Linked DNA regions of Danio rerio. The protein of the gene in region 1 binds, or shares a complex with, the protein of each later gene. Links are inferred from orthologs where the notes say so. Each region holds a gene or a part of one and is shown in the gene's direction. Other genes may lie near its edges.

Evidence for each region. Proteins that work in one complex are often made in the same cells at the same time.
Region 2: heatr3 (region 1) and rrs1 share a complex: the UniProt entries of both Homo sapiens proteins name them as parts of the hexameric 5S RNP precursor complex. The link is inferred for Danio rerio from reciprocal best matches to the Homo sapiens genes HEATR3 and RRS1.

What each region holds. Positions count from the first base shown.
Region 1 is NC_133182.1:38,126,564-38,130,756, reverse strand, and holds part of heatr3 (HEAT repeat-containing protein 3), read left to right. Parts: intron 1-2,912; coding exon 2,913-3,000; intron 3,001-3,608; coding exon 3,609-3,709; intron 3,710-4,014; coding exon 4,015-4,124; intron 4,125-4,193. UniProt on the Homo sapiens protein: Plays a role in ribosome biogenesis and in nuclear import of the 60S ribosomal protein L5/large ribosomal subunit protein uL18 (RPL5). Required for proper erythrocyte maturation.
Region 2 is NC_133199.1:27,757,811-27,761,729, reverse strand, and holds rrs1 (ribosome biogenesis regulatory protein homolog), read left to right. Parts: upstream 1-1,565; 5' UTR 1,566-1,574; coding exon 1,575-2,615; 3' UTR 2,616-2,893; downstream 2,894-3,919. Other genes in the region: pola1 (DNA polymerase alpha catalytic subunit), read right to left, coding at 213-261. UniProt on the Homo sapiens protein: Involved in ribosomal large subunit assembly. May regulate the localization of the 5S RNP/5S ribonucleoprotein particle to the nucleolus.

The sequences.
Region 1 (4,193 bases):
TTCTAATTGATAAAATAGGTTAATTGAGGTAACTCTTACCAATTATGTGATTTAGAACATATAAATGCATGTGCAAATGTATGCAACCCTTAGTCTATGGCAATGGCGGTGTTGGCCTTTTTAGATGACATTGATAATGGTCAAATCCGAAGGCTCCCAGGTGGCAGGGTGCGCGATGGGTAGTTCTTGGTGAGTTATGTATTTAAAGATATTATTCCAGCTAAATTCATTCATTCATTCATTCATTTTCTTTTCGGCCTAGTCCCTTTATTAATCCGGGGTCACAGCGAGATGAACCGCCAACTTATTCAGCATGTTTTAATGCAGCAAATGCCCTTCCAGTCGTAACCCATCTCTGGGAAACATCCATACACACACACACACACTCATACACTACGGATAATTTAGCCTACCCAATTCACCTGTACTGCATGTCTTTGTACTGTGGGGGAAAACGGAGCACCCGGAGAAAACCCAAGCGAATGCAGGGAGAACATGCAAACTCCACACAGAAACAGCAACTGACCCAGCCGAGGGTTGAACTAGCGACCTTCTTGCTGTGAGGCAACAGCACTACCTACTGCGCCACTGCATCGCCTCCAGCTAAGTTTTTTATTTTATTTCATTTTTATTGAGCATAATTATTTAACTGCATATCAGCAGACCGCGGTTATCCATTAAAGTCGTAGCTGTTAACACTCCTCAACAACCCACAAACTGACCAAGAGTGCAGATACAATGATGCCCATTCTTGCACTCATCAGTTGTAGAGCGGGCAATTAGGCAGCTGAAATGCCGGTGGCACTGCCTTGAGAGCAGAGGAGTGCTGTTTTACCGCCCTAACAAAGTGTCCCTCTAATACATCTGTGTCTCCCACAGACACAGATACTACTCCAGACAGTAAAGTGTCGCCCACAATTTAGGCAACTCTCTCCTCAAAAGGTGTTAGTTCAGCATCCCATGTTCTTTGGGCTGTTCGGTCCACACTTTGACGGTGCACCGTTGTTCTCATCTTAACCTGCACCTTTACATTAGACCAATTCTTTTTTAATTCACTCACAGTGCGATTTTCAGACCCCACTGCGTTAACTGTATCAGCTAAACTATCCCAATTTGTTTTCTTTTGTTATTAATTCCACAGGACAAACTTACAAATAACACAATTTTTCTCCGGTTTACCTCCTAAAGGAGCACCTCCCATTCACTTTCTGTGAAGTTTCTTTTCTTACTTGCTTTTGCCATTGCTTTTTTGTTTGGTTTTGCTAAAGTGTAGTCATTACCATATTCATACGGGGGAGGAGGCTGGGAGGGTTTTTTTGCTCTTGCGCTCAGTTTCATGTTAATTTGGATGTACAAAGAGAATATGCGTGGGATTTCGCGTATGCAGTGTTTCATACATCTGATTTTTTTACTGCGTACGCACATTTACAGCTTTGTCCGTACGCAATGTTTTCGTATTAATTCAACGCAAGTCTTTGCACATGAGGCCCCTGGCTTTTTCTTTTTTGACCCAGTTGCTCAGATGACACGTCAAACAGGTGCTCTTGCCAAATTTACACTAGTTTGTCCATCATTTCATGGTTCAAAATAAACTGGAAATGAGTGCCTTTAACTTCTCCCTCAACCTCCCGCCGGCCTGCACGTACTTAAACTAGTGGATGCTGATCTCTCATTGGCTGTAGGTAATTGCCAATGTTATTTTTAATCAGACCACATTTTACACAACATGATTTGAATTGCAAGCAGTTTGAAACTTCATGCAGACTATATATAAAGAGTTCAGATACAAAAACCTCTTTGTGCCGTCAGAAATTTCTATAGAAAATGAGTACTTTTTTCAGACACCTATGTTTATGTAGAGTTATTTTATTTTAAAGACCTTTAGTGGAGTGTATTTTTTGCCATAAACTTGAAATTACTGAACCTACAGACAGGACCATGATAAAAATGCTTAGAGTTGAAGGACATTTCAAATGGCTTTTAGATGTTTTTGCATCTGAACTCTTCATATGTTAATTAATGGATTATATACAGCCATCTGATTGCTATAGCAGTATAAACCCTGAGCGGATAAATCAGGACCCTCTTGCAAAGGGAAGGAATTATTCATCAGATACAACCAACTGATTATTTTTAATTATTCTGATTCATAAACACATGCATATGACATGAGTAAATAAAATTTAACACAAAATATACATATAATTTTTTTGATAGAATTCAGTAAAAAAGAAGCAGTATAACAATTCTGTTTATACTGAAGTCTAGTAGCTGTTTAAACGTAAAAACTGTAACAAGCCCTCAAAATCCAATTTGTCACCGTTACAGACTACAGTTTGTTATCAAACGGATTTTGGAAATGCACGACATGACTAATGAATCACAATTAAGTATTTTAGACTTAGCGGTGTAATAAATATTTGTGTCATCTTTATGCTAATTATTTCATATTTGAAGTCTAGTCTCTTCTCATGTATTTTTTGTTCTCATCCATATTGGTGAACATGAAATATTTTATGGTGGCTTTTTTTTTCCAAACAAAGGCAATAGCCTTCTGTTATGGATTTGCTTAAGTTTTTCAAACAGATTTAATTTAGCATCAGCAGCTTTGACATGCTTACAGGAAAAAGCAATGATAGTTTTAATCTCAGTAAAATTTGTTTTTACTGTGGTGAAATTACAAAAAAGAATTTCTGAGACATGAATTAAAAGAAATAACCAGGGTATTTTATTCTCATAAAATGGTTTTCTTTCTGTTTTTCACCTTAAAACCTCTAACAACAACCTGCAATGAAATATGTAAGACTTTAAGAATTTAAGAATTTCTCCTGCAGTAGTTAGTCCTACAATCAGCTTATTGTATAACATTATTGCTAGGTTAATTTAGTAAAACTACACTTATTTATTTACAGGAATCTCAGTGCCAGTGGAGGTCCTGAAGTATGTGAGGACATGGTGAGACAGGATGTGCTGACGCCTCTGTCTGCTCTCCTGAGGGAGGTATGAATGCTGAAACAACTCAGTTCAAACTGTTACTTGCATGACAACATAAAATCAACATGAAGTCGTATAGTTCACCCAAAAATAAAAATCTTGTTTACTCACCCTCATGCTGTTCCAAACCCCTGAGATTCTCATTCATGATCAGAACAAAAATGAAGATATTTTAGGTAATATCTGAGAGCTCCATCCTCCTCCATAAATAGCAAAGTTACTGAATTAAGTGTAGAAACAAAAAAAAATATCATATTACAAAGCTACAAGAATAGTTTAGTTTACAACAAAAATAACAAGTTTATTCAACAGTTTCTTCTCCTCAGTGTCAGTATAGGGTGTGCATTCACAAGCACTGTGCGCTGATGTGTTTCTCTGTTACCGGTGCACAACTTCCTCCGTTTGAAACAAAGCACAGGCACATCCGGGGTCATAGGGCAGGTAGGATGGCTGAACTGCTTAGTAACATGTGAAACAGAATGAAAGAATTGTAATAGGATTTTAGATCATAATCTTGATATGATATTTTTGCCATTTCATTAATGTGTAGCTATATTGTAAAAAGCTCTATTTAATAAGTGTGTGTCTGTGTTGTGTGTTTTTGTGGAGAACAGTGCTGTGCAGGCTTTGGCGTGAACTCTCCTTCTAAGAAAGGACAGAAAACCTCAGTGGAAGATGTCGCCAATGAAGCAGTCAATTTACTTTGGAACCTCTGGTAAGAATGAACTTAAACTGAAAGCAAGGACCAAGTCACAAATAGGTGGTCAACACTGATTGATGTTTACACCTCACATGTATATTAACAAAATTAGTTAATATTAGCTTTAACATTTTTTTTTTCATGTATGTGTATTTTGTCACCACCTGTGATATGACAGCATATCATCATGCTTTATTTATTGGCTGTATTTTGCAAGGTGAAAATGACACTTATAGTTAGTTTGATCAATTGCCACATTTAAAAAGTACCAATTCATGTTATCTGTGTTTCTGTCTTTTTTTGTTTGTTTGGTTGTGTAGTGAGAGCAGCAGCACAGCAGTGTCCGTGTTTAACAAGGCTGGACTTGTGGATGTTCTTCTACAATGTCTACAAAAGCACCCTCAGAATATGGAGCTGGCAATATCAGCAGGTGACACACACTATTATGGTCATCTATTCAAACTTTAAAGGTCCAGGAGCACAACTTTTTAACATTGTT
Region 2 (3,919 bases), on another chromosome or scaffold:
TTTAAGGACCGAAACATCACGTTTACTCGACAAAATGATGATACACGGTAATGTATTTGCATATTTTAACGATTAAGTTAGCTCAGATAAATCAATGTAATGTATTGTATTTCATGTTGCATTAGCGCTGTCAGTACACTACATGCATCCGCTAAGCTGAAAGCTGGAATATTGTGTTAGCTAACAACACTAATCCCTGTAAACACGCTCACCACAATCTCCGCCGTCCATGTCTTTATCGGGATTTGAAACAGGAGCCATTGATATAAAATGCGGTTGAGTCGAGGTAGAATTTCTCTCTCCTTACAAAGGGCGAAGCCAAAACAACAGATTTCCGCGCCAAAGTGTCTTCCCGGGGAAACTCGAGCAGCGGATATGACGTTCTCACCAGCCGACCAATCTGAACAAGTTGATTCGAACTGTTGTAGACAGACTTTATTCAGTGTATTTTTTAGCACATTCATTTTTTTATATCGGAGACTTGAGTTTTTTGTTATTTTACAATTAAAGATCATTTTGTTTGCGTAACTGAACAGTAATGCAAATACTACTACTACTACTACTACTACTACTACTACTACTACTACTAATAATAATAATAATAATAATAATAATTATAATAATAATAATAATAACAAGTTTGTTTTTGTTTGCATACTGTATGCAGAGGCAATTTCCAGATTTTTTCTGTTAGAATTTTCAAGAATAACATTGGCATCAGTTCAGAAATCATATTATCAGTTCAGTATCACTTGTTCAGTAATAATATAATCCAAACAGATCCAAAAAATCAGTTTTAAAATCATACCAAAAACACAATTTAAGTATTATTAAGGATAATTAATTATTTTTAGATATTTGTAGTGGTCGATGATAAAACAAATACAACCGTGCGTGTGTATAACTGCAACAAAATAAATAAATCAATATTTCTACCACAACTATGGGTTTCACTTATAGGTTTTACTGGCATTTAGAAACCAATCATTTGTCCCAGGTTACACATCCACAGAACCGATATATATCTAAATAAATTTAATATTTTATCAAAACGAACCATTTGCTCCGTATGCTTAACCCACCGGTTCGGTTCGGCTATAAGATTCACGCATCCACAAACTGAATCACTGAGTCAGGTTCGTTTGAATCATGTCTTCGAGCACTTCAGGTAACTTCTGGCATGTGGCCACTTTATTGATTCTGATCACAAAAATGTCGACTCTGGTGGGACTCGAACCCACAACCTTTGAATGACCCCATTCAACAATCTAGAAGTCCAATGCGCTATCCATTGCGCCACAGAGCCGATGGGACGTCCTGTCGGTTTATCGCTACTCCTGCATTCGACCGAACAACTTTCGTCCGAAGTAAGTTAGTTAGTATCATAAACATATACACTTAGGATAAACGTTTTACTAGCTAAAACATGTTTAAAGATTGTTATATTTCTTTAACTCATTTGAAATGTTTATTTTATTTTTTAAGTTAGTTTTTAGTTCTTTTATTTTGAAATACCAGACTTCCGCTTTTAGCGGCACATGTGGGAACCCACGTTGTCTGTCAGTAGAACCAAAATGGCTTCGTGCAGTATTGAAGACGTGCTCGCTAAAGCTGAAAGAGACGAGGCTGAGAAGCTCAAAAGTATTACGGTGCTCAAAGAGTTGGATCTTGAATTCGACCCGGGACTTTTGCTGGCGTTTGACAAGAACCGACTTGACACACGGGACTTTAAAGGCAACAAACGGGAGGACTGTCTTCGCTCTTTAGCGCGAGACAACACACAACTTCTCATCAACGAGATATGGAAACTACCCACAGAGAGAGTCGACGAAGTGATCGTCGCCAAGCTGCCAGAACCGACCACTAAACTACCCAGAGAAAAACCAGCACCGAAACCTAAGCCTCCTACTAAATGGGAACAGTTTGCCAAGCTGAAAGGCATTCAGAAGAAAAAGAAGACCAACTTGGTCTGGGATGAAGTTCACAAGGAGTGGAAGAGGAGATGGGGGTATAAACGTGCCAAAGATGACACCAAAGAGTGGTTGATTGAGGTCCCGGCGACTGCAGATCCAAACGAAGACCAGTTCGCCAAAAGGAATAAAGCCAAAAAGGAAAGAGTGGCCAGAAACGAGTACAACAGACTCAAAAACATCGCCAGAGCTCAGAAGGTCAAGGTTCCTGGAACAGGACTCCTGCCTACATCCCAGCAGACCAAAGCGGAGCTGGCACAAGCGGTCAGTCTGGCCAAAATATCCACCGCATCGGTTGGCAAATTCCAGGAGAAGCTGCCCAAGGAAAAACCAGCCAGAAACACTGGGAAGAAGAGGAAATTCCAGCCTCTTATTGGGGACTTCAGTAGCGAGAAGCAAAAACAGCTGGATTTATTGAAGGTGATGGACAGTAAGAAGCCCCGTCTCGATATCACTAAAGCTGTGAATAAGCAGATGAGGGAAGAGGACTCGGAGTCTGCTCGGAATAATAAGAAAGGGTTTGGAAAGAAGGGACGCAAGGGAGGCATGCCTGGTAAAGGAAAAGGCAAAGGAAAACCTGGAGGAAAGGGAAAAGCTCCTAAAGGCAAAGGGCGCAAACCTCAGATGAAGCAAGGAAAGCGCTAACATTTAAAGCAGTGTGGTGGACTTATGATGTTTATTGTAGAATATAATAAATATTGCACACGACTCAACTTCTCTTAAGTCATGACTTTGAGTGCCTTGCGGCTGGAGTTTGATTCAGTACAGGAATCGGGTTTGTTTATGTGTTTAGGCTTTATCTACATATGTCATGGATTAAGATCATTGAACCGTTTTCATAAATGTCATCTAATATTGACTCCTGTTATTCATTCGTAATTGTGTTTTCACATTAAATTAAAATTCTTTCTGATTTGCCATCAGTTCCTGGTTGGATATTGTGAATAATGAGGTTATATTTCATCCCCAAAGTTATTTAAAAATGAGTATAAATGTGTCAAAGCCTGCTGTTAATGGGTAACATTTGTACTTAAATAGTATGTTCTTATAATGTAATATAAAATATCATCAAATGTGTATTTTAGAATTATAAAGCTAAAATATCACCTTAAAAAATTGAAGCTAAGATTCAATTAATAAAGTATTTGAGCAATTTTAATGAAAAGAATATGATTAGATTTATCTTATACCATCAAATAGAGGAGACATCCCATTTCAGTGTCTACCTAAGTTCACAAATGTGATTTTTAATTACAGCAATCAAATTAAATCTAATTAAATTGTTTAGTGATTTAAATAACTTTTGTGAAATTAAAAATATGAGTTAAAAACGCTGTATTGTCATTTAGTGTTATGTGAAAATGAAACCTACTGTTATTCTGATCTGTGATGTGACAAATATGTATAAAATAATAACTTAAAGCTTTCCCAGAGATGGGTTGCAGCTGGAAGGGCATCCACTGCATAAAACATAAACTGGAAAAGATGGCAGTTCATTCTGCTGTGGCGACCCCGGATTAATAAAGGGACTAAGCCGAAAATAAAATACATAATTTTTAAAGCTTAAATACGTATTGAATTAGAAAAATCTTGCTGTTAATGGGTAAAATCTGCACTTTAATAGAATGTTCATATAATTTAATATAAAGTATAATCCAATTAATACTCATGTAAGTGTGTTTTCTTGAATTATGAAACTAAAATATTCAAATTAAAAAAATCAATACTGGGTTTCAAGTGATTTTGATTAATTAAAGATTTCATTGTTTGATTTGAATTGATAAATCATGAAAAAAGTTTTTTGATCATGCAGTTTATGTCAGCAACATATAAACCTTTTATTCTTGCATATTTAACATTTCTTAATTTCAGACCAGTTTTAACTCACGATATTCTATTAAAAATAAAGGGAATTTATTTTTTATGTATTTGCTGAAACTGTAATGTCA